Notamacropus eugenii: one gene and its partners. The protein of the gene in region 4 purifies or fractionates together with the protein of the main gene of each other region. This does not show direct contact. Links are inferred from orthologs where the notes say so. Each region holds a gene or a part of one and is shown on either strand. Other genes may lie near its edges.

What was found.
Region 1: the proteins of TNS2 (region 4) and utrophin-like purify together in Homo sapiens (affinity purification with mass spectrometry; 4 studies listed by BioGRID and IntAct, with this or other methods). This does not show direct contact. The link is inferred for Notamacropus eugenii from reciprocal best matches to the Homo sapiens genes TNS2 and UTRN.
Region 2: the proteins of TNS2 (region 4) and DMD purify together in Homo sapiens (affinity purification with mass spectrometry; 3 studies listed by BioGRID and IntAct, with this or other methods). This does not show direct contact. The link is inferred for Notamacropus eugenii from reciprocal best matches to the Homo sapiens genes TNS2 and DMD.
Region 3: the proteins of TNS2 (region 4) and SNTB2 purify together in Homo sapiens (affinity purification with mass spectrometry; 4 studies listed by BioGRID and IntAct, with this or other methods). This does not show direct contact. The link is inferred for Notamacropus eugenii from reciprocal best matches to the Homo sapiens genes TNS2 and SNTB2.

What each region holds. Positions count from the first base shown.
Region 1 is NC_092873.1:232,659,612-232,667,477, forward strand, and holds the start of utrophin-like, read left to right. Parts: upstream 1-4,571; 5' UTR 4,572-7,866.
Region 2 is NC_092876.1:441,925,668-441,933,903, forward strand, and holds the start of DMD (dystrophin), read left to right. Parts: upstream 1-5,025; 5' UTR 5,026-5,117; coding exon 5,118-5,148; intron 5,149-8,236. UniProt on the Homo sapiens protein: Anchors the extracellular matrix to the cytoskeleton via F-actin. Ligand for dystroglycan.
Region 3 is NC_092872.1:708,564,634-708,573,020, reverse strand, and holds the start of SNTB2 (beta-2-syntrophin), read right to left. Parts: upstream 3,110-8,387; 5' UTR 3,099-3,109; coding exon 2,441-3,098; intron 1-2,440. UniProt on the Homo sapiens protein: Adapter protein that binds to and probably organizes the subcellular localization of a variety of membrane proteins. May link various receptors to the actin cytoskeleton and the dystrophin glycoprotein complex.
Region 4 is NC_092874.1:225,880,933-225,889,081, forward strand, and holds the start of TNS2 (tensin-2), read left to right. Parts: upstream 1-4,676; 5' UTR 4,677-4,763; coding exon 4,764-4,910; intron 4,911-5,049; exon of another isoform or gene 5,050-5,188; coding exon of another isoform or gene 5,189-5,257; intron 5,258-7,979; exon of another isoform or gene 7,980-8,064; coding exon of another isoform or gene 8,065-8,070; intron 8,071-8,149. UniProt on the Homo sapiens protein: Tyrosine-protein phosphatase which regulates cell motility, proliferation and muscle-response to insulin. Phosphatase activity is mediated by binding to phosphatidylinositol-3,4,5-triphosphate (PtdIns(3,4,5)P3) via the SH2 domain.

The DNA of each region.
Region 1 (7,866 bases), on a different chromosome or scaffold from region 4:
GATTTGACTGTAAAACTGCACATCTCCATCAATATATTTTGCTTTTAAAAACAAGTATATAACTTTTTTTTAACATTATGCTTTCAAAATTATTTGTTTCATCTTTGTTTTCTTTTGAAATTCCTTCTGTTTTTCTGTGTGTACAATTAAAAAAATTATCCAGTAATCCTATTTTATTTTACCAGTTTCCCACCAAATTTCCCCAGTCCTCCAAAGAAAGAAAAATAAATACAATACTTGTCATAAATAAGCATAGTCAATGAAAACAAATATTCAGAGATGTCATACCTAAAAATCTATGTCTCATTTTGCATTTTGAGTCTATCAGCTCTCTGTCAGAAGAGTGGATAACAGTTCTACAACAGTCATCTGGAGTAATTGTTGGTTATGGCCTTGATCATGGTTCTTCAGTTTTCTAAAGCTGCTTGTTTTTACAGTGCTATTATTTTTCAAACATTTATTTATTTTTAGTTTTAGTTGGATCATTTCGCTACTCCACCAGCAATGCAATGAAGTTCCAATTTTCCCACATCTCCAGCATTTATCATTTTCCTCCTTTGTCATGTTAGCCAGTCTGATAGACAATTTGTGACATGGTGCTTCTGAGTTGTTTTAATTTACATTTCTCTAATTAATACTGATTCAAAGCATTTTTTATATGGCTAGAAATAGCTTTAGCTTTAATTACTTCATCAGAAAACTGCCTTACTGTATTATTATTGTAGAAAATGATTTTGTTTTGCTTAAAATCAATTCAGACAAGTTCATATAATACAGTAGAATTCTATCATGTTTATATGCCATAATGCCATGTATGTATACATATATTATAATTTCTTCAGTCTTCCCCAGTTGATGGATACCTTCTTTCCAGTCTTTGCTATGAGAAAGTGATCTACTGTAAATATATGTGGTAATAATATTCCAGTTCATATAAACCATAAGCTATTTGTTTGCCATCTTCCAAATAGTAGGTGCCCACATAGTTTCTAGTTTTTTGCTATTCTGTTTTTATACAAGTATCTGCCTTTGGGAATGGAGGGGGAAAGGAAATTAATATAAGTGAACGTTATCTCTAATACATTCTTAGAAAAGTTTCGCATATGTCAAACAGTTACCATAGTGAGGAGGCTAAAAGGGCCTTGCTAGGTGATATGGTAATGGCACCCAATGGCAGCGTTTACTTGAAAAATGTGATGGAAAGCTTCTTTTGTAGAGATGGTGAACTATTGAATATGTGGACTATTGAATATGCAATTAGACAGCATTGATGTGTTGATTGGTTTTCCTGAATTGCTTTTTCTGACAACCTTTTTAAATTTTTTTTTTATATTCTGGGATGTTTTACATATAAGAGGAAGGATAAATTCCGAAATTAAGTTGCTATAAGAAAAAAGAAATTAAAACATTAACAAAAAGGATTAAAGAGGAGGAGGACAGAATACTTTGAGGAATATTGCTTCACAAAACTGCAAAAAGAGGAAAGTGAGTCATGGCAAATTTAAGTCAAATTATTCCATGACCATATATAGATGGAATTGAAAGGAGAATAACAAATTGACATGAAATGGAACAGATCTGCTACTGTTTATAAAGTGATTTGTTCTCAGTGTTGACAACAATAGAACCACTAGTGCTACATAGTGAAGAGGTAGTTATTCCAAAAGACTAGAAAAAAAATGCATCTATTTTAATAAATTTAAAAAAAATATGAAAAAATTCTGTTACTATTTACCAACCCATAGACTATCTGCCTTTTCATTTTCCTAAATTTATTTTTAAAATAAGAATGGTCTGTGAATGCTCTTTGGTGATAATTTGGTGATAACATGAAAGATTTATTAATGAATTCTTATAGCAATCTGTATTTTTACAGTTGCTCCCTTGATAGCTCTAGCAAGCCCAGATAAGCTATATATTTTATTTTTTTAGTAAAAAATTGACTCATTAGAACAAGATGGGAAACAATGCATTTGTTAAAATTATATAATTGACACATATAACTATGTAGATAACTTAAAGTCAAGATCTCTTGACATGAGGCATAAAACAGAGGGTTATATTATCACTGTAGATGTGTAGCAATATCCCAGGGGATTCCCTACATACAAAGTCTAAGCAACATTAATAAAATCCCTTTTTGATGCTGAGGTTATCAGATGCTCTCATGCAAAGATCACAAGGTATTAATTATAGGCAGGTGCTGTACATCTTCAGCAATGAGAGACTGGTCTGAGTGTCTATCCGTGGGTGGGAAAGACAGCACAGGAGATTAAAAAACAATATATTGCCCCTATTGTGACCAGTGGCACAGGTTGAGCTGTAAACATCTTTATTTTGGATGGATATTCTAGGTGAACCTTGAACTGCCCTCAGAATTGAGGAGTGCGGAAATTAGACTCCAATGCATTTAGAAAAATGGTCAGTGATTTTGAATTGCTCAAGTCTAAAGCTCATTCCCTTCATACAAGCTCTCTTCTCCTCTCTTCTCCCCACTTCTTCAATTCCCTTGTCCATCACCCTCAGTAATATGTACTGTAAATCCTAGATACTTGGTATTGGCCACGTAGGGAGAATGAAAGAAAACAGTGATTGGCCAACTGCTATATTGGTGTCTGCATGGGAGGGCATGATGAGATAAAAGAAGATGAGGAAAGCCTCCAGTATTCTGGTTAGTTCTTTGATGAAGGGATTATGGGCAAGAATTTCACAGATGGAGAGTATGTGGAGCATTCATGATCTGTATTAGTAGAGACAGTATCTATCTAATAGGCTAGGGAATGTCAAATTACCAAAAAAAATATCAACTGTGTCCAGTATTTCAGTTATCTTAAGCTTTTTACCCCCATTTTGGGGGTGGAGTATGGAAAAGAAGTTGTATGAGCCTGGTGACATTTTGTTAAATGTTTTGGAAAACTGTATGGAACTTCTGCCGGTGAAGAGTATAGTAATACCAGCCAGCTCTTGCATCATTGCCTAATGATGTCTGGCTCCCTGTTTCTTTGTGCACTGATGCTTAATGTTAATGACTTTATTTTGAGAGTCTTAATTTCATTTGAATGCTGCACCTGTTGTGGGCTGTTCTTGCTGCATGAAATCCATAGCCCAAGTAACTCTCATTCACTTCCTTTTCCTCCCCCATATTTTTACTCTTTCCGGTGTAGAGGATGAGCAGATTAATAACTCAAAAGAAAGGACAACTTCAATGAAGGTCATGATTTTAGAGGTTTGAGGGGACAAGCCAGTCCTAGAGCACTTAACGTGCTGTTGCTGGGAAACTGGAGTCTGAGGTCATTTAAGAGGCCAAGCCTTGAATTGGCAGTTTGATTCTATGTCTCTGCCAGAATGGAGGGGGGTGGGGGGAAGAGGGATGGGTGGGATTCAACAGCTGTTGCTACCTGATATCTGAAACATTGCTGTTGAGGAACATGCATTTCCTCTTTTGCATTTGGACATTGGGTGCTCCTGTGAGAGAAAGAGAGGGGGAAGGGGGAGGGAGGAAATGTTACATAATACAGTTTACTTTTAGAAAAATGTTCTTAATTTCTTGGAGCTATCTTTTAGTCCAAGTAATTTAACATTAGAATTTGGGATGCTGTTTCCGACTTAGGATTCTGCAAAACTGATTTTGTACCTTAATTTCTTGATCCAATCAAAGTAGCAATAGGAAGGCAGTGTGGTACAATGACATGAGCATTGACCTTGGATTCGTGGGACCTGAATTGGAATCCTAGCTCTATTATTTTCAGTACCTGAATGACTTTGAGCAAGTCATTCAAGCCTTAACTTTCTGAGCCTCAGTTTCTCATCTGTAAAAACTGGAGAGGTCAGACTTGATCGCCAAACCACCTTCCAGCTCTAGAGGTCTTCAAGCAAAGGTTGGATAATCACTTGTTGACTGTGCTGTAAGGGGAGGCTGGGGAGGAAGTCTTGTTCAGCTATAGTTTGGATAGTACAGCCTCCTATAGGTCAACTCTCTTAACTCTTTCACTTCTTGAAGTTCAGTCATTCTGAACCCAGGGAGAGGAAATTCTACTCAGAGAAGCATCAGATGATGAATGTTTCTTGGAAGTCATCCTTCTTAGTGGAAGGAGAGGCTGTGTAAGCCATTTGTATTTTAGGCTTTAGTAGTGTGTTTGTCATTCATCTTACTCCTTTTTATGAATTTATGGCCCATGACTCTATTGATGTATTGAGAATTTCCAAAGTATGTTAATGAATAATGCACAAAACAGTGAGTGGGGTGCAATGGAAGGGATACCAGGTTGGGTTGAAGGAGGAGGTGATCAGAAATAAGTCACACCTCTTCTTGCTTCTGATTGCTGCCCTGTCAAATAAAATTTGTAATAACTCTTCTACTCACCTATGGGGATATTCTAAGGATCAAATGAGATAATAAATGTGAAAGAACCTTAAGTAATATAAAGGATTCTTCCAGTATCAGGCAGTATTAATATATATATATACATATATATATATATATTTTAAAAATATCACTATTCTTGTAGATCTTGTAGGGTGGAGATCAGTTATGTATTTTCGAAGGTGACTTAATGCTCTTCAGCTGTCACTACATTGCCTGCAATGGTATATATTCATGGGTGTGTTAATAAATGTTTAGCAACCAGATTGCTAGAGATATATATACTATATATAACATATATATACACACACATATATTTAACACATATATACACATGCTTTTCACTTATTAGTTTAATCTTCATCATTAACATTTTCTCTATCCCTTTTGTAAGTCTGAATAATTAGCAAAACAATAAATCAATCCCTAATTTGTAGTGTTTGCCAATTTCCAAGATTTAAATACACTGAAAATTCAGTAATTTGATAGCTGATTGTTGGTTGCAAGACATCACTGTGTTTATGTGACCTCAAAGGACCAATAGAACTCTGAGGATATCCCATAGAATTTTAGGTTTTGAAGGGGGTCTAGACTTCTAGTCTATTCATATAACTTGAAGCATAAGTCCATTCTGTAAGCTTGACATGTGTGTCCTTCAGGCAAACTCACTTATCATCAAGAAGTAAACCCAATACTTTGGATAGACTCCGAATTTTAGGGCTGGAAGATAATTTAGGGAATATCTATTCTAATTTCTTCATTTTGGGGGTGAGGAAGCTAAGACCCAGACCTGCCCGTGGTTATAACAATTAGTGAGGGAATGAGCAGCAAATCTAAGACTGGGAAACCACTTCTTTACTTTACTCCCAGTTACCCTGCCTCATGATGACTCAGACTTGGTTTTTTTGCCTTTTTCTTTTTCTTGCACTTCTGGATCTTCTTAATGACCTCTGAACCCAAGTTTCCAGAGCAGAAGCCTTACGTTTCCTCTCATATTTCTGTGTCCTCCTAGCATATATTTCAAAAAATGTATTGTTAACCCACCTCCTTCAGGCCATGTGGTCTCTTGAAAGACCCTCTCCAGTCTTCATATTTACATGGGAATTTGAATAATGTCAGTTATGGTTTATGTAAAAGTGACACAAACACACACCTATTTTATACAGAACTTTTCTCCTTAGCTATGTAGTATTAACACCTATGTCATTTCAATTATGCTAGGTTTGGGGAATAAAAAAGCAAAAATAGAGTCTGCCTTTAAGGAACTGAATGAACATTTTACCTGGGAGTGTGTATATATGTGTGGGGATTTGCTCTGTACACAGGTTGTGTGCTTTTCTAATCCTTACTTTGTATGTATTCATATATGTACATGCTGTTTCTTTTGGTAGAATGTTACTTAAGTTGCTTCATCTTTGTCTTTGTATCCAAAGAGCCTAACATAATGCTTTGCAAATATAGACACTTGTTAAATGATTGATTGATAGGGATTGAAGGTAGTGAGGGATTAAATACAGTGGTGTAGAAATACTTGAGAAATGGAAGATAGTATCAGCAGCATGTGAGATATGGGGACAGGGAGTCAGAAGCTTTCATAGAAGAGATGGTATCTGGAGCCCAGGAAGTGTGCATTGGAGAGCTGAACTTGGAATCATTTAATTAAATCATCTAGTTCTGTGGGCAGAGAGCCATCTGGTGATCATGTGGGTGGCATGAGTGGTCCTCGGGTTGGTGTGCTTAACCAAACCCACCAGGTAGACTGTATTTGCCTCCCTTGGGTATGATGGCAAATCTTTGAAGTTTAAGCTCATCCAAATTAGAATTCTTTGTTGCCCCTTTTCTTCATACCTGTAGCATTGAATATGCGTCTATGTAGTTTTAAATTAAATTTTGCGGCGGTAGGGGTGGGGTAGAGAAGAGACTGAGTTTCCACAAATACATACTATTGAGCCCCTTGCACTGGCACATAGCAAGTGCATAAATACGTGCTTATTGACTGACTAAACCTCTTCCATTTCTCCCCCATAAAGAGTTGCACTGGTGAATTGGTAGTGACAGGGGGATCTGGCTTAAGTAGCATCTCAGCTGCTGTTGCAGACTTTCCCTTGTGAATTCCACTGAGATCAGATCCTAGCTTCCTTGCCAATGACTGGCACCCATATACAGCTGCTTCTTTTGGTGGAGGAATGTCATTAGTCACCATAGACTTGGAGACGTTGCTGCCATTTCTGGATTGGTAATAGACTCCTTGGATACTCTTGACTTTTTCTGCCTGGGGAATGCCATGATGCATACTCCTGAAATTTTTTTTTTTGGGGGGGTGAGAATGGAGTGAGGATGTTGGAGTATCATTTTTCTATTACTGTTTCTGGGAAACTAGATATCAGAACTAAAAAAGAACAGAAAAAGAACTAAAAAATTTATCTTGGTCCATGAAGTCCTATAATTAAACTAGGAATTGGCAGCTTGTATAAGTCTTTATACCAGAAGAGAAGGATACATGGCTGTGTTAACTAAGACATTACCTTCATTTTCATTTGGGTGGAATGAATACTACCCCTTGCTCCTACCAATTCTGTATATGATAGGGGAAAAGTTACCACTGTCTCCAAATTTTTCTGCAAAAACAAATATTCTGTTGACTACAAGTCTTTAGTAAAAATTTAGTTAACTGTTTGTTGGATGTGGCATAGTTGAGAGTCTCTTCAGATAAAGCTTGAACAAGATGATCCCAGAGGCCCTTTTCTCTTGAAAATTTGGCACTTCTGGCCTCAGGGTGAGAATATCTTTCTGAGGGAAACAGTACCAGCTGATGACTGCCAGTTCTCCTTTCTCTGTAGGAGAGGCTCTGCGATCACCTATGTGTTTAGATTTTTGTGGTGTAATTGTTTTCTCTTAATGTTATTCCTCATGAAACTTTCTCTATTTACCTGGAAGAAAGGTTGTAATTTACTCTGGTGTGCAACTCCCAAGTTGCCTTCTCTATTAATTCATCATGCGCAGTAGATACCCTTGACTTTCCACACATGCTTAAATACTTGTTCATTTAAATTATGAATTGGCTCATTTGTCTTTTCCCTTATTATTTTTGAGTCTATACTATTTGTGTTAAATTGTAAACTCCTATGTAAGAAATCTGTAAGAAAGATGATTAACACAATCACCATTCATGATTTCCGAGGACTGATGATCAAATAAACATGTTCTCCATGACAGGAAGGTGATGGATTTAGGGTCATTTAGCAAAATACATCACTGTGAATATTTGTTAGAATGAGTTTCTTTTTTTGCCTCCTCTCCATCCCCCCTCTCCCCCTGCCCATGGTGAGAGTGTGTGCGGGAGAGTAAATGGGTTAAAATAATTTTTTTTAAATAGAGAGTTGAGGGATGTTTGCTACGGTGGTAGAATGTTGCATGTCCTTTTAGGTGAGGTCATTTTATTATTAGCTTTTCTTAACTGTTTTTCTTTGTTATGAGAGACCTTTCACAGGTTGGGAGGAGAT
Region 2 (8,236 bases), on a different chromosome or scaffold from region 4:
TTAGGAGAACCAAGAAAAACATCAAATATTTCCCACCCTCTGTGACCTTACATTCCATGAGGAATGATTTGGCCAAGGTTATTCAGCATATCAATGAGAGAACTAGAATTCAAACTCAGGTCTTCAGGATTTTAAATTAGTAGGTTTTTTCACATAGTTTCTCATTGTTCTCCAGAGTCTATGTCTTTGCCTTAGATCCTGTTATTTTCTTCTTAACCTATTCCATCTCTTAGCTGTTGTAATGTCTCCACTCTCATACATTCCTTGCATAAATCCTGTCAATCCAATAAAGATTATTCCAAGCCCATCATAGAAAACTTCTTCAAGCCATATTGATATGAGTTGCTCTCTTAGTCCTTTGAACTCCTACAGAACTTTATATCTCACTTAATTCATTTTCTTTCTATTAGATTTAGTTGTTCACATGTTTTATCTTCCAGATCAGATTATAGTATTCCTTGTCTCAATGTGCTGCACATGGTCATTCACACCAAAGGTCTCATTCTATCCCAAAGGAGAACAGGCATCTTTGAGAGGTAATAGGTTGCCTCTCAATTGAGCCCTTTAACCAAGTGTGGCTAAATGACCTGTGTATTCTTCTGCTTTGAGCTAGACTTGAAACCCTAGGAGTTCTCTCCAATTCTGACATTCAGTGTTTCTATGAAGTCTTATTTATCTTTGTGACTCTCTCAGTGTCTCTTTTAGTTCCTTTCTAGAAGTAGAAAATTCATATTACATATCTGTTGAATGAATGAACCCCTTATCTGAGTTTCTTCAAAACTTATGGTTTGTTCCACCCAATTTAGCGCTTAATGACAATGTAATTTAATAGCCATTAGTTTTTTCATGTGCCATTTGGAACTTGGAATATCTCTTCCAATGGTAGGACGCAGGTAAATGTCACCAGTTCTTCTATTTCTCTTCCCAGGCAGTCCTACATCTCATTTCATTTTACTTATTTTCTTGATGAATTTGTAAGCTCATCAAAGAAGCAAGGGACAATAGGATGATATGTATATGATATTTGTTAATGAGTTAATAGTAGCATTTTGGAAGAATTTTTAGAAAATATTTTTACAAAACAATCTTGTTCCTGGAAAAGCTTGGTGGCACAGTGGATACAGCACTAGACCTCGAATCAGGAGGACCTGAGTTCAAATGTGACCTCAGATAATTACTAGCTTTGTGGCCAGGGGCAAGTCATTTAACCTTGGTAGCTTAAAAAAATCAAAACAAAAAACAAATACCTTCCTTATAACCCCGGCCTGCTCTGTTTGTGGTTCTCAGGGCAAAAGGAGATTGCTATATAGCTCTAGTCTTCTTGGTCTGATTTAAGTTGTTTTTTTTTTTTTAACATATCAAGTTTTATTTTATTTTTTCTCTCAAAATATTATGTTTTATTGACTTTTAAGTTTTTTATTATTAAATTATTTTGTTTTCAGTATTCTATAATCACTTCAATATATCTTAGATTTTTCCCCCTCCCAACTCCACTTTCCCCCCTCCCTTCCCACTCCCTCCCTGAGATGACATACAGTTATATAGGTTCTACACATACATTCCTATTAAATATATTTTCTCCTTAGTCAAGTTGCATAGAAGAATTAAAATGAATGGGAGAAACCATGAAAAAAAACAAAACAAAACATAACACAAGAGAAAATAGTCTGCTTCATTCTGCAATCCAATTCTATAGTTCTTCCTCAGGGTGTGGCAGGCATTTTGCCTCAAGAGTCCATTGGGAATTTTTTAGGTTCTTGCGTAGCTGTGAAGGGCTAAGTCTACCAGAAAAATTCCTCTCACACTGTGGTTGTTGCTGTGTACAAATTTCTCCTGGTTCTACTCCTTTCACTTAGCATCTAACATATCAAGTTTTTACATTAGGGATGTTAGTACCAAAAAGATCCCAAGGGAAATTGAGGAGGAATGTAAGTGTCCTGAGGACAAGAACTATCTGAACTTTTTCTTTATATCACTGGCACATAACATATAGTGAGCATTTCATAAATTCTTATTGATGGACTGAATAAATACTAACCAAGGATGAAGGCCAGAGAATCACAATATGCAACATTAGTCTATGTTAAATAAATATGGAGTTCAAGTCTTTTAAATCTGAAGTTATTGGCACATCGAGAGCCACTTGTATGTGGACATACAGTTTATGTCAGGTCTCAGAGGACCTTTTAGTGTTTCTTCGATATATTTAGAGGGCTGAATGCAGGGACCTATTTTCTGTTTGATATATTGATCCATAGGCCTGGAACACATATTCTCTGGGACAGAGATCTTGTTTAGTGCCCTTTAGAATCTTAGAGGTAGAATATATAATGTTGCTCAGACTTTTCCTTTCTCCTCACTGCCAACCCATACCTACCTAACGGTAGGCACAGCCAGTCCATTTAGTGTGAAATGGAAGTATTACATCTATTGTAAGAATACTTATTAGCAACAGTAAAGCATGTGCATTTTAAATTATAACAATTCATATTTCATTTTCTCTTCTATAAAGTGTTTGACAAATTAATTAGTGATTATTCTGTGAAGGTACGTAATAAAAAAAGACATAATTAGTGGTTAAAAAACCTTTCTCCTTTAGTCACAATTTTGTTCAATCACATCTTTTTTTCCTCTTTCTAAACTACTCATTTAATATTGTAAATCATCTGATGCTTTTTTTCTTAGTAATACAGATTTTCCTCCCTCTTATTGAATATCCCTCATTCAGGGATGTCCCAAAAGTCTAAGTAAGCTTTGAAATCTTTTTTTTTAAGCTTAAAATTGCTCAATGAATCTTTGGGAACCTTGTTTATAAGTAGTATTTTTCTTTCTCCCAGTTGTTGGTAATCATCAGTTACTAGTCCCAGACACACACAGGAGTTGCAATGTGTGGACAACACAACCCCTTAACACATGACATTAAAACATCTTCTAAGCAATTTTGACATTTGATGTGTCCTTTTAAGTCTTTTTTCCCCCTTCAATTTGCTTTTTAGGATGGTCTAATCAGTCTTCACACACACACACACATACACACACACACACACACACACACACACATACACCCTTCAAGCTGATGTATGCCAAGTATTCTTAATAAAGAGTGTCTTTACATTTTAATAATAGAATTTTTATTTGATTCACTGTTTCTTGAAGGTATAATCTACAAGTCATTACCATAGATCAAAATTGTTTTCATTATTATTTTTGCACTGGGACAGTTTTCCTTGCCTTTTCCAAGTAAATTTATGTAAAATTACTAGGAAGTAAGTACCAAAGAAACAACATTGAGATTCTGATCTTACAAATTTTGAGATGTGGATAGTGTCCTTGATTTCAGCAATGTACATACTTCTACCACCAGCTCAGATTTTAATCCCTCCTTAAAAGTCCTCCCAGACTTAAATTGTATTAATAGGCATTTCAAATGAATTTTACTCCTAAAGGGTAAGGGGACACCACAGGATTTTTAATACTGGGTTACCTTATTGCATTAAAAACTAGTCTATTTATCTCTCCTATCACCCCCATCCACCAATACAACCCCTTTCCCCCCCACACAGAGTTAATTTTGTTATTTTTCAGTAATTTCAGTTGTCTGATTCTTTGTGACCCCATTTATGAGTTTTCTTGGCAAAGATACTGGAGTGGTTTACCATTTCCTTCTTCAACTCATTTTACAGATGAGGAAACTGGGATAGAGTTAAGTGACTTGTTCAGGGTCATACAGCTGGTGAACCTGAGACCAGATTTAAAATCAGGGAGTTGAGTCTTCCCGACTCCTGGACCAGTGTTCTATCTATTGCACCAACTAGCTGCCCCACAAAGTTAATACTTGGTTATCAATTTGGTGAACAGAATATGGGAGTGGAAGGCAGACGTCTTCAGATTCAGGACCCAATCCACTGTTAAGGACATGATATTCAACACACCATTACCCTCCATGAGCTTCAATTTCCTTATTTGTAAAATGAGGATACTTTACTAAATCTTCTCGAAAGACCCCTTCAACTCTAACCTTCTATGATTTGCTGGCAACATCTATTGTGTAAATCAAAGCACAATTATTCCAGTTCTACACTGAAATATTTTTCCCTTGTGCTCAACCTGTTTATTTGAATGTCAAACAGAATGGCATTTTTTCTTGTTGTCAGTGAATAAATTTAAGAAAGAGTACATGATTAGGAAAGAAGTTTTAGTTTAACCTGAAACTTTAATGGGTTTCCCCAAAAAAGTTTATATTCTTTCATTTAAATGAATAACGCTCCCTGGGAGACATATTTTCACTACAGCTCTCTACTGCAACTTTCTCCTACTTAGACTCAACTCTGAATTGTTTGCATCATCAATTTATGATTTTTGATTGGATCCCAAGGGAAGTAAATTAATATTTGTAGTTTCTGGATACATAATTCATGCACAAATCATTCCAGGCATGCATTTGCATGTCAGTCAGAAAAAAGAAAAAAAAACTGCAAGTGCATTTGAATTGAAAAAGAGAAGAAGCTTTTGAAAATTTGGCATTGATAAGAATGAGAAAATTCTATGAATTTTGGGAAGATACTTAGAAATTATTGTTAGGACTTTTCACGACAGTCTTTGTGTATTTAAGAGGCACAGAGAGCAGTACTCTAGCTACTTTACTATTTTAGCTTCATTGCTAATCAGGAAGCTGTTGGTCATCTTTTGAATTTGTTATACAGTACATGCCATCCTGGAAGCACAGCCTTATATGTAGAGTTCATGGGCAGTCCTATTATGGGAAACCAACTTGTTTTGAGGGAAGCCCAGCTGCCTGCTTCTGCGCAGGTCCTGGAATTTGAAACATCTAGGGACCTCTATGGAATCCTGGCATCAGTTACTACATCGACTGACTCTTTGGGAGTTAGGCTCACTCATTCTCCCCTTACAAGATTCAGACCTTAGAAGCAGTGAACTTTAGAGATAAACTTCAAAGAAAACAGAGAGGGCTTTATTTATTTTTTTTTTTTGGAAGGTTACTTTGGCTTCTCATTTTTACTGACTCGCCTAACTCTAAAAAACCTACTGGAGTAATAAAGCTGAGGACATTTTCATTAAGATATTCCCTGTTGCCTTGATATTTTATTTTTGTCCAAATGATTTGGTATGAAGAAGCAGAAGACTGTTGTAAGTATAGACTAAAATAGTTTTATGATTTTTGTGTTTCTCATATAACTTTAAATGTCAAATATTATAAGAATTTCAGCTTAAGAAAATAAAATAGGTAATATAAATGCTCATGTATTGTGTACAATAATGAATATACAAGTAGTTACTTATAGGTAAATATACTGAATTAGGAAAACTTTTTTTCCAGTCTTACTGGACAATAATTACCAGTATTCAGAATGATCTTAAATACTTTTGTGTTAAAAGTAGAAGTAGTAAGGTATTAATATTTATATCAGAAGTTTTGCTCCCATAAGTTAAATTCCATGGTTGTCTATGTTTATTGGTATATACATATATGTAAATGTGTTAGTGTTTTTTATGTGTGACAGTTATCTGTAATATTCCCAGCTAATGTAAGAACTAATAAACTACCTTTCAAAAGGGAGAGGGAAGGGTCTGGGATAAAACTATGTATGTTTTAATAAGTATAGTGAGTTGAGATAGATTAGGACAGAATGGAAAGATTTATCCAGCCTTCTTTCTCTTATATTCCAGGATATCTTATTATTCTTCATTTTAAGAGGCTGTCTTCTATTTTCAGTTCTAGGTAGTACTCATGTATGAATTGTCCTAGAGTATGAAAGAATGCCTTCTGAACTGAGGAAATATCTTAAAACTTTTGGGAATTTTAACTATGCTTAGTAGTAAAGTTAGCTTAAAATACTGTTCATCTTTTATATCTGTGATGACTAAGCTGTTTTCACTCAGATACTTTTGGTTTGCCACTATTCCAAGACCAACTCTTTAGCATCTTTATTTTGAAGCAGATCATGGCTCCCTAGGTATTTTAAATTTTTATTGCAATAAGCAAATAAAAATGATGTATTGTGAGGACAATCTGTTCCAAAGAGATGGGTTGACTTGATTACCTAAGAGATGTGTGTGGTTGTTTTACTTGTTTCTTAACTCTTATAGATCTAAGATTATCGCCACTCTCAAATAGATTCAAGGACTGAAACTGTATTTAGGAGAGGGGAAATAACCCAGTAATTTCAATAACTGTTCATCAGTTTCAGGAAAAGAAGAAAAATGTTGCTGAGAAAACTTTGCGCGAAGGAATTAATGATTTTATATTGGTAGCTCCTGGTTTTGGAATGTATACACTTCATTACTTCCTTTTATTATTCTATGTAGTGTTGGAAATCACCAGGGTTGCATTCCCATTAAAAAAATTCTCTGAGTTAAATTAATTTTAAATAATGTATATGTTTGCATATATTACATACATCATGATACTTAATCTTTGATAACATATCAATTCTCTGTAAGAGATGATCTTAAATTAAAAGAGTAGTTAGAGGAAAAATGAAAATAAATTAATTTATAAATGTTTGTCAAAAGTAAGATATAGCTTATAGGCATGTATAATCATTTGTGGCAACTTATAATCTCTGATAAGATCGATAAAATTGTGAAATGTGAATACATAGTTATTAGAATATAAAAGAAAAAGAAAAAAAATCCTAACATTTAGACTATCCAAAAGTAGAATGAGCTCTGGTTAGAGGTAAGAAGTTCTCCCTCATTAGAATTCTTCAGATATGTTATGAATGACCACTTTTTAGGTATGTTGTATGAAAAACCTTGGTAGGTACAAATTTGGTTGAATGGTCCCTACTAAATCTAAGACTGTGATAAAGTGATTTAGAGCAGGAAGGGGCTTTAAAGGTTATATAATCCAATTCTATCATATTATGGATGAGGAAACTGGACCTGGAGAAATTATGTGACTTGCTTAAAGACACACTGTATTTGGCAGAGGGAGGATTTGAACTCAGGTCTTTTAACTCCAAGTCCAAGGCTCCTTAATGTGGCTATAAATATTATCTTGTTCTTACTCCTGTGAAGACTAGTATCAATACTCTATTTAAATTTTAAAGACTGTGTTCACTAGGAAAAGCAAGAAAGGTGTCTTAACATTTTATCTCACAGTTCAGTGCCTTAGTGGATGCACTATTTAATGGTGATAATAATATTGGAGATTCATAGAATAAATAAAAAAAGGATATTTATAAAAGGTTATTTTCTATAAAAAAGTATTACTGCCTTGAATCTCAATGTTGATCATCTTTTGAATACAGGATGAGAGATAGAATACAGAGTCATAGTTTTTCAACATTATATTTTGGAAGTTATAGGCAGGCTACTTACTGTCAGTAAAATTCACATCCAATTTAATCTGCTGTATAGCGTGCTTTTGTAATTTATTTTCCTAAATTTATAATCTGACAAGCTTTGAATGCAAGATGATGGTCACTCTCATCATGTACCATAGATTCTATTTACCTACATACGTGTAATAATTTTAACATGTATATAGAGTTCAGGTTTATTTTACATATATGATTTTGTAAATTGTGTATATATATCATCCATGAATATGTATGTTTATACACACACACTCATACATACATAAAGACAGACAGAGAGAGACATGGAAAAAAAGAAAGGGAGAGAAACATGATAGTTTTAGGAGAACAAAATGGAATTAAAACAGCATATTTATGGTATGTAAATCTGTTCTTCTGTCATGTCCTACTCTTTGTGACCATATTTGTGCTTTTTTTTCGCAAAGATATTGGGAATTGTTTGCCATTTCCTTCTCCAGTTCACTTTACAGATGAAGAAACTGAGGCAAACAGGGTTAAGTGACTTGCCCAGAATCAGACAGCTAATCAGTATCTGAGGTCAGATTTGAACTCAGGATGATGAGTCTTCCTGACTTCAGCCAGCATTCTATCCTCTGCACCACCTAGCTGACCTAAAGCATACCTACTCATTAAAGTGTATTCTTGTGGGGAAAGAGGTTTATAGACTCTCATGTTTAATCGTTCCCTATTATCTAAGTCGTACTAAAGTACACATTCATTAAGCAGAGGCAAATATGAAGTAGGACATCTCTTTCTGGCTTGAAGCCTTATTTTAAAACCTTTAAAATCTGTGTTCTAAGTCACTGGCCATATGTTTGACAAACTGTGAAGGTTTTATCCACAGCTGAGGTTTAATAAGAGAGATAATGAAATCTTTGTTCTCTGGGAAAGTC
Region 3 (8,387 bases), on a different chromosome or scaffold from region 4:
TTCCCTTGATATAGTAAGCCACATACAATGTTGTACTGCTGACTCATTTTGAACTTCTTAGCCTTACTTTCACAACTTTTATGCAGTCTACTACAATCATTTCATTACATCAACACTATGTTTATATGACACTGTGGATCAAATATAAATTAATAATCAACGTATGTAAATAATAAGGATAAGACATATGTGATTTCATTGTGACTAACTTCCTCTACTAGAGTCGGTCAGCACCTTCTTGGCAATTTTCCTGTCTTAAAAGAGGTGCCTGGAGCACCAAGAAGTTAAGTCACATTGCTCAGGGTCAGAGTCTCTGTGTCAAAGGTTAGATTTGAACTCAGGTTTTCCAGGTTTGGGGGGCCAGCTCTCTATCCACTAGTATAAGCAGCCTGTCATAAGTAATAAGTACAGTTAATAAAGTATAATTTTGAACTTTCCAGTCTACTATTGTATTTCGTTTTTCTACCTGAAGTTTCTAGTTTTAAAAGTCTTTTAAAAAATCAAGCCTGAGACTGGCACCAGACTTTCGTAAACTAAACAAAAGGGGCAAAACTCTTATCTTGGCAATAACCTTCAAGTTCAGTGTGCCTTCATTGTAAAGTAAGGCTCATTAACTAAACAAACTTGCCTTTTCAGTCTCGTACCTTTCAAGGAAACGCTAAGATCTAGTTGGGTTATTGTTGAGAGTCAATGATGAGTTAAATTCCCATAAATTAATCAGCATTTTGGTGGTATGCCCAAATCTACAGCAGACGTGCATTTTTTAAAAACCCATCTAGGGAAGAGAGAAGTAAGAAAAGAAGGCGGCGGCGGTCTTGTACTTCTCCAGTTAAATCCAAAAGGTGTCATACAGGGGAGAATGCCAAGCCTTAACAAATAATGAAAAAGTATCCCATGGAAACACTTAGAAGTTCCCATCTTGCCCCAAATAAATCTGAATTTTCAGGGCTATAAAGCATTTCGGCTGTGGCTGAACTTTTCCAACTAGAGTCATCAGGGTTTTCCAAAATGCCAAGCTGGTGACCAGAAACCTACTTTACTAGGAAGAAAGGGTGCGTGAGTTCCAGGGGAGACGAGCAAAACCAAGTCCTGGACATTGTAGGCAGAGCTGGTCGAAGCCACGCGCTGCTCGGCCGTCGGCTCCCTCCAGTCCCCCCACTCACTGTCCTGCAGGACCTTGGCAGCGCGGCTTCCCCTAGTCCTTCTCCAAAGCCCGTGTTCACCCCCCACCCCCACCCCGTGCCCCCTCTCCAGCAGCACCTCCTTTTAGAGCACGATTCCCCCCGTTCTGTGCTTGCCAACCTTGGCCCGCACCCTCCAGCAGCACCCCTGGTCCCCTCTCTCCAACAGCACCTCCTTTTTCAGCAGGGCTCCCCCCCACGCCCGTCCTACCCCGTGCTCGCCTCCCCTGGCCCCCACCCTCCAGCAGCACCCCCGGTCCCCCTCTTCAGCAGCACCTCTTTTTTCAGCACTCTCCCCCCGTCCCGTCCCGCGCTCGCCTCCCCGGGCCCCCGCTCCAGCAGCACCCCCGGTCCGCTCTCTTCGCCCCAGCCCGGCCCCGCTCACCCTCCAGCAGCACCTCCTTTTTCAGCACGGCTGCCCCCGTCCCGTCCCCGCCTCCCCCGGCCCCCACCCTCCAGCAGCACCCCCGGCCCCCCTCTTCAGCAGCACCTCCTTTAGCAGCGCGGCTCCCCCCGTCCCGTCCCGCGCTCGCCTCCCCGGGCCCCCGCTCCAGCAGCACCCCCGGTCCGCTCTCTTCGCCCCAGCCCGGCCCCGCTCACCCTCCAGCAGCACCTCCTTTTTCAGAACGGCTGCCCCCGTCCCGTCCCCGCCTCCCCCGGCCCCCACCCTCCAGCAGCACCCCCGGCCCCCCTCTTCAGCAGCACCTCCTTTTTCAGCACTCTCCCCCCGTCCCGTCCCGCGCTCGCCTCCCCCGGCCCCCACCCTCTAGCAGCACCTCCTTTTTCAGCGCGGCTCCCCCCGTCCCGTCCCCGCCTCCCCCGGGCCCCCGCTCCAGCAGCACCCCCGGTCCGCTCTCTTCGCCCCAGCCCGGCCCCGCTCACCCTCCAGCAGCACCTCCTTTTTCAGCACGGCTGCCCCCGTCCCGTCCCCGCCTCCCCCGGCCCCCACCCTCCAGCAGCACCCCCGGCCCCCCTCTTCAGCAGCACCTCCTTTTTCAGCACTCTCCCCCCGTCCCGTCCCGCGCTCGCCTCCCCCGGCCCCCACCCTCTAGCAGCACCTCCTTTTTCAGCACGGCTCCCCCCGTCCTGTCCCCGCCTCCCCCGGGCCCCCGCTCCAGCAGCACCCCCGGTCCCCCTCTTCAGCAGCACCTCCTTTTTCAGCACTCTCCCCCCGTCCCGTCCCGCGCTCGCCTCCCCCGGGCCCCCGCTCCAGCAGCACCCCCGGTCCGCTCTCTTCGCCCCAGCCCGGCCCCGCTCACCCTCCAGCAGCACCTCCTTGCCGGCCCGCTTCAGCGCCTGCACGGCCTGGTCATGGGTGGCCTGGCGCAGGTCGGTGCCGTTCACCGACAGGATGGCGTCGCCCAGCCGCAGCGCCCGGCTCTGGTCGGCCGCCAGCCCGGGGAAGATCTTGGAGATGAGGATGGGCATCCGGTTCTCGCGGCCGCCCTTGATGCTGATGCCCAGGCCGCCCGCCTCCTGCTTCACCACCCGCACGCGCCGCACGGGCGGGGAGCCCCCGGCCGCGGCCGCTGCCGTGGCCCCGGGAGGGCTGGGCGGGCCCAGGCCGCGGCTCGGGCTGCCGGGCAGGGAGTCCCCGCCGCCCCCGCCGTTGGGGAGGCCGTTGAAGGCGGCCAGCACCGGCCCCAGCGGAGGGTCCGTCTCGGCCGCCGCGTCCCCGGTCAGGCTCAGGCTCTCGCCGCTCAGCTCGGCCACCACCCGCACCCAGCGCTCCCGCAGCAGCAGCTCCACCAGCCCCGCTTTGGTGGCCCTGGTCCACACCGCCATGGCCGGCCCGGGTCCCGCCGCCGCCACAGCCGCCGCCGCCACCGCCGAGGCCAGGTTCCTTCCCAGCCGGGAGTCCCGGCGCTTCCCCCTTCCCGCCTGCGGGGGCGAGGCCCCGCCCCCGGGCCCGACCATGTATTATTCATGAGAGGCCCCGCCCACTCCTCCGTTTACCGCGGGGGCGGGGCCGCTTCCGGGAAGGAGGGGGAGAGACTGGTTCTGGCCAGCCCGGGGGGAGCTTAAGGTGCCGGGATCTCCCAGCACAAGGTCACTGCTGGGAGGGCTCTTCGAGCCGAGAAAGTCCGGCCGGGATGGCTTAGAACACAGAACGCCAGGGCTGGGAGGGAACGTAGAGCATGGACTGTCAGACCCAGGAAGGGAGCTTAGATAGAACACAGAACACCAGGGCTGGAAGGGAACGTAGAGCATGGACTGTCAGACCCAGGAAGGGAGCTTAGATAGAACACAGAACACCAGGGCTGGAAGGGAACGTAGAGCATGGACTGTCAGACCCAGGAAGGGAGCTTAGGGCTGGAAGGGAACTTACTTAGAGCATGGACTGTCAGACCCAGGAAGGGAGCTTAGGGCTGGAAGGGAACTTACTTAGAGCATGGACTGTCAGACCCAGGAAGGGAGCTTAGGGCTGGAAGGGAACTTACTTAGAGCATGGACTGTCAGACCCAGGAAGGAAGCTTAGATAGAACACAGAATGTCAGGGCTGGGAGGGAACTGAGAACATGGAATGTTAGAGCTGGGAGGGGCCTTAGAAAATAGAGCCCAGAGCTGAACCAACCCTCAGAACACAGAATGTCAGGACTGAGAGGGACCTTAGAATTGAGAGTGTCAGAGCAGAGCTGGCAGAGACTTTGTTTTGACCCCTGCAGTAACAGAAGGGGAAGCCAAGCTGCACCCAGGGCACCACTTAGAACATTCTGAAGCCAGCGTTCCAGACTCCAGATTCAGGGTTCTGCTATTCTTTATGGAAACAGAATAACTGCTTTGGGCTCTAGCTGTCTCCTTAGCCCTCAACCACAAAAAAATTTGATCTGTTTCTGCCAGATGTCTTAATAAATGCAACTGGGGAAAATTAAAATTCCTTCTGGTAATTTCTTTATTAGCCTGTGAAATTGGGTTGCATGGGCCCCACGTCCAGCAGCTTCTTTCTGAGCTCAAACAGCTCAAAGGGTTTGGTCTACAAAAGAATTGTCAGCAGCCGGATTGTCAGAGTGGCCTCCAGCACCAGAGAGGAGGTTCACACATTTCCCACAGATCCTAAGGGCTCAATAAATAATTCTTGTAAAGCTGAATTGAGATCAAAACAGGCTCTGTTCATGGAGCCTGTCCATAAAGTACATGCTGACACCTGTAAACTCCAAAGGATCCATGTGCTCTTGGAAGATGGAAGATTCTGTGACTTTTTTTGTCTGCTTAGGGAACTCCAGGGGTCTGAATTCCCTCCACCAATACGGAACCCTCCAGGGACTTAAGTAGAATTAAGTAGAGTTGTCAGAAGAACAGGGACTCAATGATATGACCAGGGTTTCACAGACTTTAAGAGAGCAAATGTGAACCTAACATCTTCATAACTCCAACGCCCCTCATAAATCCCCATTAAGTTCCTCAAGGGTAGGTTTTTTTATTTTGTCTTTTGAGTCTAGCACCTAAACACAGTGCCTTACAGATAGAATGTGTTTTGAATGAATAATACTTGATATTTGTAGGGAAAGCATGCTCTAGTGGATACAAGACTGCCCTCAAAACCAAGAGGACCTGAATTCAAGTGCTACTTCTGAAGCATACAGACCATAACCCTCCCCCCTACTCCTCATTTAATCATTCAGTGCTCTACGCAACTTTCAAAGACAGTTAAATTGCAGAAAACTTGCTTTGGTAGAGGGAATTTCCACACCTGGGAATTCCCCAAACCAATTAACTCACAAATCCAGTTCCCTTTTACCAAGGATACATTTCTTATTTGACCCTTATAACATCTATAAGGTAGATGCTTCAGGTTACTATCTTCATTTCATAGATAAATGAATGTATTTACTTATAAAAATATTTCTAGATATGAGTTTTCTAGATAAATGAGTTCAGAAAGGCTAAATGACCATATGGGGATCACATATCTAAAGTGAGTTGGAGTTAGAATTTGAAATGCATGTGGTCACTTCTAACAACAAGTCTTCATCCTCATGATGGTAGAGGGTAGAGACTGAATCCAAACAGTCTCAGAGGGAGGAGGATGGGAAATAAGCCCAATAAGCATTTATTAAGCACCTATGATGTGCTTTGCTAAGCACTTTACAAATACTCTCATTTGATCTTCACAGTAACCCAGAGAGGTAGGTGCTATGATTATCCCCATTTTGTTGTTGAGGAAACTAAGGCAAACAAAGGTTAAGTGACTTGCCCACTGTCATATTACTGTTAAATGTCTGAGGCCAGATTTTAACTCAGGTATCCCTGATTCCAGATCCAGTGCTCTATCCTGTATACCTCTTACCTCCTTCTCAAAGTCTTAGAGTTAGTTTTTTTAAAAATCTAGTCAGAGATTTATCAATCCCATTAAGATATAATTCCGACCTTACTAAAAATCATTAAAATAGGATTTGTTTTGCAATAAGGCAGGATTTTCCAAGTTGTAAATTTCATCAAAGCTAAAAAAAGCAGACCTCCCCCTAAATCCACTGCAAAGAGACCTCCTGGATCTGCAACAGGTCCAGATATGCCCTGTCGTCCTGCACAGCCTGGAAACACACACATACAACATGCACGTACGCACGCACGCACGCACGTACCAGGCCCATTAGGATAACTACAAAGTAATTTGATGATCAGAAGGGCAAATTATATAAAATTGAGATGTAGAGGGAAAAATGTTAGAATTTGGATGGTATGGGATGCTTCTTCTCTTTTTAAAAAATCTCTGGTAGACTTCCCCATGAAGTTTTAGTTTTGAAGTTTTGCCATATCAGCAAACACTTTAGCTTTGCACTCAATATCCTTCCTAATTTGAACCCAGCCTTCCCTTTCGGCCTATTCTACCCACCATTTCCTTAAATGAACCTGCTAAACTGGTTTATTCATTGTCCCTTTAAATATGCCTTTACTATTCTCTGCCTCCGAGTCCCTTCCAAAATATTTGTCTTCCTCTTGTGTCCCTAGAAATTCTATCCAACCTTAAAGGTTTGGTTTAAATTCTACTGAATCCATTAACTGACCTGGACTGGTAGAACTTGAAAGGACCTTAAATCTAAGTTATATCACTTGGAAAATGAGTCCTCCACTTCCTCTTCCAGGAGGACTATAAAAGTCTTATTGGAGTTGGTGTGAGAATTAGCACAAGAATTCAGGCTTCAGCTGGGAGGCTAATGGGTTTTTCCAACATTATAACAGCTAGCCCCAGCTGAAATCCATCTTTCCTCTGACCGCCAAGAACATTGAATTCTAGGAACATTTAGGAATCACCTAGCAGGTTGAAGAGAAGACAAAGGAAGAGCCCATCAGTCAATGCCGTCAATGAGCATTCACTTCTTGTCTCTATCACTTATTTCACAGTTGTCATTTATTAGCTTTGCTGATTACCCCAGCTTGTGTTTCTACTCAAATTGGAATCTCATTTCTCATCTGGCTGCACTCAGCTAGGATTTCTCTGACTTTCTACCATGCCTCAGGGACCTCATCATTGGGAAGATTCATCATTCTGCAAGATCATATCAACCTTGATATTCACATCCCATCACTACCTTCTGCTTAGGACATACATGTCTCATTTTCCACCTGGCTGCATGACTTCAGGATTTCTGGCTTTTCCATTTCACCATCTCTCAACTTTTCAGATTCATTTTGCATGTTTTCTACCTTTAGACTGTTATGCCCTTAAGGGACTGGAACGGTTTTTTTTTTTTAATTTGTATCCCCAGTGCTTGGCACATAGTTTAAAAAAATGTTTATTGACTATTGACTAAATTGTTCCAGTACCTTTTGTTTAAATCTCCCCTTGGGAATCTAATGGGTTATTTACCATAATACTGATTTTTTTTTTTTATTGTATAACCATGCATCTCACTTGGTATTTTGCTCATCTCTATACCCATCAGAGATCCTCAGGTGAACTGAAAATTCCTGAGGGAATTTTTTATCTTTAATAATATAAGAATAATAAATATCATTCATATAAGACAACATACTGTTACTGGTACAAACTTGTGAGTAGGTAGTATTATTATCCCAATTTTACAGAATAGGACACTGAGGTTCAGAGAGTAAGTAACCTAGAAGTAATAGTATTAACAATAATGAGGACAATAGCTAGAATTTATAAAGTGTCTGTTATGTGCCAGGCACTGTGCTAAGTATTTTACAAATATCTCATTTGCTCCTCACAACACCCCTGGGAGGTAGGTTCTGTTATAATCCCCATTTTTCAGTTGAGGAAACTGAGGCAAACAGGGTTAAGTAACTTGCCCAGGGTCACACAGAGTAAGTAAGGTGGACTTTAGCGTGTGTAAGGTGGATTTTTGTTATTCTTCTTAGAGTTCAGTTCCTCAGGATCCATGGACAAAATCTCTATTTCCCAGGCTCATGCTTTGCACTCAGTGTCTCAAGGTAAACATCTCCACCACACTTGTGCAGCGTTACATAATGATAAATAATATAGACATTTGTGCTTAAAACTGAAAATACCCACTGCAACTGCACAATGAGATATAATGTAAAATTGTGAGGCTGTTGTCAGCAATATGCCTTCTTTGTCTGTTGCCCTATAAAGCAGGTGGGCACTGATCAGTAAGTGGGGAATCTGTATTTGCCTCAACAGGCCCCCACTGAGGCTTGCGGGGATTTAAGGGAGTGCACAAGTTATGCCTGTCTTGACTGACTCCATCAAGAGAGATGTAGAGGTAGCTGCCCCTCCTTCACTCTGGTCTTTGTGAGAAGGGTGTAGAGCCAAGGAAATATTCATAGCATCTATGGGGGCTGTGAATATGCTGGCATAATTCTGAATTGCAAAATATAACAGACAGTAGAAAGCCAAATCCATCATAGCAACAAAGAAATCTATACACAATAATACAAGGGGCACTACTATCCCCAAGCCTTCCCCCTGCTAGGACTTTCCCACAAATGAACAACTCACATCTTGCTGCCTGCTTCCTCTCTCTCCCTCAGCTCTAACTGCTGTGACCAGCTTCCTCTCAGTTCTGCTCCACTCTTCCTGCTTCACCCTTTGGGCAAGCTCATCCCACCACAGACTCATGGTACTCAGGTTTCCATGTGACTCAAGCAGGTCACGTGGGCCTATTAATGGATGGGAAAGATCTTCCCATTATGCAAAAATACATTAACAATACAAAGGGTGACTAGGGAATGCTATATTAGCAAACCCTCTTGAGAAAACTAGGCTAGAATAAAGTAAGATTA
Region 4 (8,149 bases):
TCATCCATGAGGATCCATTTCTCCATACGCACATTCTCACCATTGTTTTCATCTTAGAAGGTGGGGAAAACTGCAACAGATAAGGGAGGCAGTGACGGGCATTGAACTTGGAGTCAGAGTAAGACGGCCCTCATTCCTTACAGGCACTGGCATAGCCCAAATCCCACACACACTATCCCTGCTGTCCCTCCCTACACAGACACACTGTGCCTACTAAGCTGCCTCCCTGAAGGCCTAGTCAGCAATCAGACGCTACACCTGCAATAGGAGAGAACTGGGTTAAGTACTAGAAATGTTTGTCTCACATGTACCATCCTAGTAACAGACCCTTACCTCTTATCTGGATTATTGCAATAGTTTTCTAACTAACTTGTCTCTCTGCCCAGTGCCTCTCCCCTCTCCAATCCATCCTCAACCCAGATGCTTAATGTACTACAACATTTATTGAGTATGAACTCAGTACATAAACTTCAGGATCAGATATGAAGTCCTGTGTTTGGCACTTACCGATCTCCACAACCTGGCCCTTTTCACTCCCCACACTCCAGTTTTTGCTGTTCTCCACAAAAAACCCAACTCATCTTCCCCTCTCTCTCCACCCAGGCCTAGCATGCTCTCTTGATCCCTTCCACCTCCACTTACGTGAGGATCCAGCCACATTGGCCTTGCTTGCACACAACCCTGTGCCTTTGGGTTGTCTGCCTAAAATGGCTCCCCTCTCCCCATGCCCCACCCCACTCTCCCACTCCCTCACCTCCTGGCTTCCCTGGTGTCCTGCAATATTCAATTCAAATCCCATCTTCTGCAGGAAACCTTCCTGGGTCCCCACCCGCAGTTACTGAAGCCTTCCTTTCCTCTGAGATTATCTTTCAGTTTTACACTGTATATGATTTATGTGTACCTAATTACTTGTTTTTGTTTGTTTTTTTGGAGGCAATCAGATTAAGTGACTTGACCAAGGTCATACACCTAGTAAGTGTCTGAGGTCAGATTTGAATTCAGGTCCTCCTGACTCCAGGGTGGGTGCTCTAGCCACTGTACCACCCAACTGGCCTTGTACCTGGTTAGTTACATATTGTCTCCCATTAGCTCCTGGAGGACTGGGACTGTTTTTGTCTTTCTTTGTATCCCAAGTGCAGCACAGTCTGGTATATATAGTAAGTGCTTAATAATTGTTTGTTGACTATCATTAGCAAACAGTTTAAACTTAAGTAAGAGGGATTATTAAGTTAGTCATGAAGAAGTTCTTGAATGTGAGAGATTTGAGTCTCTTTTTGGAATGGGGGAAGGAAAGGGCAAAGGTTAGGAAGGAGTCTTTAAAAATAGGATTCTCCAGTGATTGGGATGGGGTAGGATATGGTCCTGTTCAGAGACAGTTAGATGAAATGACCTCTCTGGGTTCTCTTCCTTAGCATGTCCCTTCCCTGGGCCCTTTTAATAAATTCTCCCTAATGAGAGGAGAAACTAAGGGAAGAGTGGGAACATCCTGGCCAAGGAGAGGAAAAGATGGATCTCTTCCTGGTTCCTCATCTCAGTTGCAACAACTCAATTCATTTCAGCAACAAGATTTGACTTGACTTAAAAGCAGTGGTATGCTGGTAAATGTTTAACTTGGGGATGGGGGGAATACATCAGACATACTATTAAGTTTAATCTGCCTTAAAATTTTCTCAGTTTCTTAAATCTAGACAGCCAACAAAATAATAAATCGATGAAACAAGTCCCGGTTTATAGCATTTGCTGATTTCTGAGGTATAAATGTTCACACTGAATACTGAGAAAAATCGAGGGCCAGTTAAAGCTGGTACAAGCTCACGTCAACCTTAAAGACACTTCAGTGCCTGGCATTCGAGGCTCTCCACCATCTAGCACCACCTTCCCACCTTCTCTCATGTACTCTCCTCAACTGAACTGAACCATTCCCTAGGCTAGGTGCTTTCTCCTTCTTCTGTCTCTAACCTAGTTTATCCTCTTGTTGAATTCCTACCCATCCTGTATTTGAATATGTATATATGCAAATAGGAATATACGTGCAAATATGTGTATGTGTGTGTGTATATACATATATGTATATGTATAAATTATTAATGCTTTTTGCCCTGCCTTTACCACCAATCTTTTCCCAACCACTAGATACATATCAAGCTCTCCCTTATGACTAAAGTAAATAAGGGAAAAGGTCTGATACAGAGACTGACAACTTATAGAATATTCTGTTCTAAAAGCCCCCCTTATTCTCCTTCATTAGTTTTTGCATTACTCCAAGTTCAATTTCATTTTAAAATTAATTTTTTACAATCAGCAAAAATCCACCTTTTCTCCCTCCCAACCCAATACTTCCCCCTACCCTGCTTAATGAAAAAAAACCAAAACTCTTGTTACCAGTGTGTATAGTCAAGCAAATCAGATTTCTTTTCCTTATCCTGAAAATATATGTATCTCGTCTTGCACTCTGAATCCTTCACCTTTCTATCAGGAAGTGGTTAAATGTTTCATCATTAATCCTCTAGAATAACGATTGGTCATGAAAGTGATCAGAGTTCCTAACCTAAATCTTCCAGAGTTTGGCTTTGCTGGATTGTTTTCATTGTATAAAATCTCCTGCTTCTCTGCATCTGTTCATACAAGTCTTCCCAAGTTTCTCTGAAACTATTCCCTTCATCATTTCTTCTAGCACAATAATATCCTATTATATTTATATACCATCACTTGTTCTTCCATTCCCCAATTTAGGGGACCCCTTTGGATTCCCATTCTTTGCCACTGCAAAAAGAACCATAGTTTTTTGATGCATCCTTAGAGTTTGTTTTGCTTAGGACTAATCCGTCCCTTAATGTACCCTCCCTATAATTCCTCCCTTTCCCTTCTCTTTCCTTCCTTTATCTATTGGGTGAAATGTATTTCTGTACTCAACTGTGTGTGTGTGTGTGTGTGTGTGTGTGTGTGTGTGTGTGTGTGTGTGTGTGTGCGTGCGCGCGCGCGCGCTTCTCACCTTTGACCAGTGCAGATGACTGTAAGGTTCAAGTGTCAGTCACTTCCTCCACTCCTTCCTTCTTGTTTGGATAGGTGCCTATTTGCACAATCTGATTATGTTAATTTTCCCTAACCTTCCTTTCCCTTCCCCATCATCTCCTCCCAATCTCATTTCTTTCCATTCTTCTCTTTAAGAACCACTCTCAGGCCTTGTTTAATGATACTCCCTCAATGGTCCCCTGATGATAATAGGGTTATGAGGAAACACATAGTGGCATCTTCCTATATTAGAATGTAAGTAGTTCAGCTCTGGTTAGCACTTTATGCTTATTCCTTAATGTAGAATCAAGGGTAAGAAAACTGGAAAGGTCAGATAGGACCAAGTTGTGATAAAGTTCAAATGGCAAACTCAGGGTCTGTCATCTGGAAGTAATAATTGAAGCCACTGAAGTCAGTGTCAATTTAGGACCTACATTTTATTTGTCATTTCTTACAGCATAATATGATTCCATTACATTCATATAATTTTTTTAAAAATCTTTTATTTAATCTGTCCATCCCAGAAAAAAAAAAATCAAGTCCCTCATACTTAGATGCCTAATCCAGCGAAACAAATGTTCCCATTGAATGGTCATGTCCAGAACTATATTTTTCTTTGAGTTCATCACCTCTCTCTCAGGAGATGCCGTGTTTCCTCTTCACTTGTTTGGATTTATGGTCCATCACTGCATTGATTAGATTGCTAAAGCCTTTCAGAGTTTTCCTTTTTTCTGTGTCGCTGTTCTTGTACAAATTTCTCTGGTTTTGCTCACTTGACTGCATGGGTTCATACAAGTCTCTCCAATTTCCTCTGAAGCTGCCCTTTTGGTCATTTCTTATGGCGCAGTAATGTTCCATTACATTCATATGTCACAATTTGTCTAGCCAAGCCCCGGACAGGATGACATCCTCTTAATGTCCACTTTGGGTCTCGCACACAAAAGAGCAGCTGTCGATATTTTTGAATGTATAGGTCCTCATCTCTCTTTGGGAATCATAGACCTAGTATTAGTACCACTGTGAGATATGGGGTATATTTATGATGTAGTAACTTGGGGACATAGTTCCATACTGCTTTCCAGAATAGCTGTGCCAGTCCATATTCCTAGCGTCTCTGCTGTCCCAGGGCCCTCCACATTTGTAATTTCCCTCTCCTGTCATCTTTGTCCATCCATCTTTTTACCAGTCATTCCTCAGTCTGTGGGACCCTATATGTTTCCAGTTATTTGCTCCTCCAAGCAGTACTGCTGTGAATATTTTGGTATATTCTGTCTTTTGACTCCCTTGCAGGGATATGTTTATTGGCACCTACCCATTCTTTAAGGGCCAACTCAAATGTAGACCTCTCCATAAAGTCAAGATACTTTGCCCACCTCTTAGGCACAAGCTCCCTGTGGGCAGGGAGCAGGTATTTTAAAATGTCGAATCTCCCCTAGGGCCTAGCACAGTTTTCAGCACAGACTGGGCACTGACGCTAAGTGCCCAGGGTATGTTAAGCTGGAGGGGTCACAGCCCCAGGCCGGACGTCACTAACTAGGACAGGAGGGCTGCTGATCCGTCCTGTTTATCGGCTCTGGGTGTGTGCCAGCCCCGGCTGGGAAAGAGGGAGGAGAAGTGTGTGTCCCACTGCTGGGAAACAGGAAGCCAGAGGCCGTCCAGGCCTGACCCCAGGCCCAAGAGCACCGACGGGGCCTGGGAGCGTCCTCGGGTGGGCCGGGGGAAGGGGGTGACCAGAGGGACCCCCGGATCCGATGGCCGTGGTCCCCCACGCCCCCGCCCTTGGCGCCAGCCCAGGGAGCCCCCACTCTCCTGCTCCCCAGAGGGGCCCCGGCAGGGTCTCGGGGCTCTCCCCGTCCCTCTCCTCTCCTGCCTGGGTCTCGCTCAGTCTTCGGGAGAAGGTGGGGAGAAGAGAGGACTAGGGGGCGGGGAGCGGGGCGAGAAGTGGGATTGGAGCCGGAGCGAGGGAAGGAGGGAGCAAGGGAGGGAAGGAGGGAGGGAGGGAAGAGGGAGCGAAGGAGGGCAGCCCAGCCCAGCCCAGCCGGGCCGGGCATCGCAGCGAGCGGGGACCGGGCAGCCGGGGGGCCAGCGGAGCTGCACTGGAGGCGCCCGGCCGGGGGGGTGCTGCGGTGGCGGGCCCCTCCTCCCTCCGCCCCCCGCTCTCCGCCCCGCCGGCGGCATGGGCTGGGCTGGGGGCTCCCCCTGCTGCTGCCCCCCGCGCTCCCGCCCCGCAGGACGGCCCCCCAAGGTGAGTGGGCGGTGGCTGCGTCACGGCCGGCCGCGGGCCGAGCCGGAGGAGGGGAGGGGAGGAGGGCGGTGCCCTGGGCGAGCCCCTCGGAGGGGGCTGGGGGGAGGGGGACCCCGCTTTGGAGCCCGGCCGGGGGGGCAGCCCCCATCCGCCCCCACCTATAGCAGCCCACAGCTCGGAAAGTTGGTGCCACCTCCGGCCTTAGGAGGCAGGGCTTGCGGGCCCTCGGACTCACGTACGCACCACTGGCACACGCACACACCCCCTCCGGGCACAGGTACGCCCACCCACCAGCGCACCTTCGCGCTGCCAAGCCGCACCCTTCAGTGCACTGAGGTAGCGGCCCTCCCCAGACTGGCAGCCCCTAAGTGCTACCTGGAGGCAAGTATGCCCCGCGGACACACCCGGCGGCACCGGCAGTCCGGCGGGAGGAAAGTTACCCTGGGCCCGAGACGTAGACACGTCCTGGAGGGTGGGTAGGGCTTCCTTCCCCCTCCCCTTCGTGTTTGTGGAAACTGAGGCAGGACTGAAATTACACATCCCCAGCCTTCTTCTGGCACAGCTCCCCAAACCCCGCCAGTTCCCCCAGTCCCCTCATTTATTCCCCATCCCCGGTTATCTGGTTTCTCTTCTGCTCCCACTCAAGATCCCCCCCCATCCTAATTAAGACCTGATTCCTTCCCTCTTTCCTTGGACCTTTCACCCTTTCCCCCTCCCCTCTAGCCAGGCCTGGGCTTCCAGCCTCTGTATCCAACCACAGCTATTTCCAGGAGGGGGGAGTAAGGGGTGGAGGGGGCTTCTCCAAACAAACCAAAGACTTCCTGGCCCAGCATATGAGGGGGCCAAGGCAGGGGAGGGAGGAGGCAGGCAGACACTGGAATGTGGCCAGCAAGGATGGTTGGGGGGGGGGGGGAGCAGTGGGAGAGCAGAAGTCCAGCTGAGAACTGAGCTGCATACCGGCTGGGGGGCTAATATTCCAACTTCTTCCTACCTTAACCCTTAGGTGCCCACACCATACAATATGGCAGGGAAATGAGATTTCTCTCCTTCCTGCCCCACTCGTCTTTTCCTCTGCAGATGCTAATCAGGGTACCTTGATGATCTCCAATCACTTCTATAATGTAGGGCCTCTCTTTTCACGCCCCTACCAGCCCAGAAAACAAGGAGGAAACTGAGGCCTGACCCAGAAGAATTTTCTCCCTCCATTTCTAACCGTCAGCATAGATGGTTAAGGTAGAAGAAGAGTTAGTGTTGCCAGACCTACAGAGATTCAAGGGGAGGGATATTGGAAGGTTTTAGCTACAGGCTGCCATGAGCCAGTGCCAGGGAGGTGAAAGTAAGACCCCTTAACAGGAGGATGGCATTCCAGAAGGGAAGTTAAAGACAAACAGGGGAGGGCCCCACAGGTACAGTCCAAGGTTTTAGGGGCTGACCAAGGGAAAAGGAGAGATTCAACTAAGGGAAGAGGAGAGGAGCTAGAAAGAAAAAAAATCACCTGCCACTCAGGCTTCTTGGTGCCAGTCTCTCCCTAGGATACAATATCATGCCAGGGTCCTACTTCCCACATTGATACAATGTCTGGAATGTCCTGAAACCTGGCCAGACTTAGTGGTGGAGGTGGGGGGAGGGGGGGGCCAAAATCCAGCGCCTGCCCTTTCAAATTTCAGGGCTGAGAAACTAGCCTCCTTGGATGTTCAGTCCTTAGTCTAAATTCCCTGTTTCTGCCCGACATCCTGTCTGGAAGGGCCATCGGTAGCTGAGCAGATGCTCCCTGAAGTAAGAGGCGTTAGGGCACTGATTCGATTTAGCAGCAGCACTCAACCCCCTCTCTCAATTCAGTTAGGAAGTAAATATGAAGGAGCGCAATTTTTTGTAGAGGTTCCCTAACCCCCTGAGGTTAATATCCTAGTGGTCTACTCAGGAACAGAGGGGGAGAGCTAGTCAGGAGTGGCATGGGTAAGAAAGAAATAGAGCTCAGGACCAGGATCCTGAAGGACGGGCCAGTCCAACGGGGAAACAAGGGGTTCACATGGGGCAAGCAAACCCTTTCCCCCTTTCTAGACTTTCCTCATCTGTAAAACGAGGGAGTTAGAATAGAATAGATACTTCGATAATTCAGTTTAATTCAGCAAAGATTTACTAAGCGTCTACTGAGACAAGAACACTGTTAACTGCTGGAGGAGACAGTTTAGATAAGTCAAGGTATCGGCCTCCTTGGTGTTTACAGTTTAGTAAACTAAACAGACCCTAAGGTCTTTTCCAGTCTATAGCATTCTGTACACAAATTCAATACCTCGCCCACATAAAGTTTGGGGACAGCTATGGTGGAAGGGATGGGGTGAGGAATTTCAAGGGAAAGGGGGCAGGGACTGGGAGAATCTGAGGTAGGACGGAGGCAGTCAAGGAGGACTTGGGCAGATGCTGACCTACAGTAAATACCATGCAAACTAGATGCAAATGAGGGAGGGGGTGACACATTCTTTCTGAGTAATGATTGCTCAGGTCTTGGGAGTTCAAAGGTTTCAGGTTGGGGTTAGGGCAACGCAATAGTTAATCCTGGAAATCCAGGTCTTGAACCCCTCGTATTCAAGGACAAACTTGGGGTTTCTTCCATTCCCCCTTTCTGCCCCCCACCTCCACCCCATTCCTGAGACAGGAAGCTGGCTGAATTCCCAGGAGGCCGGAGGCCTGTGGTAGTGAGGGGAGAGAAGGGGAGGGTGAAAAGGAGGGGGAGAGGCTCCTGTCCTGTCCTCCTGGGCTTTGGAGCTGAGCTGGGTGAAGAGAGGGGAGCGATTCAGAGGGAAGCCATGAAGGTGACAAGAGGGAACGGGGTGCGCTTGATGGGGAGGAATAGGAGAGGGCTGGAGGCTGAAAGGAGTGGTGAAAAAAGGT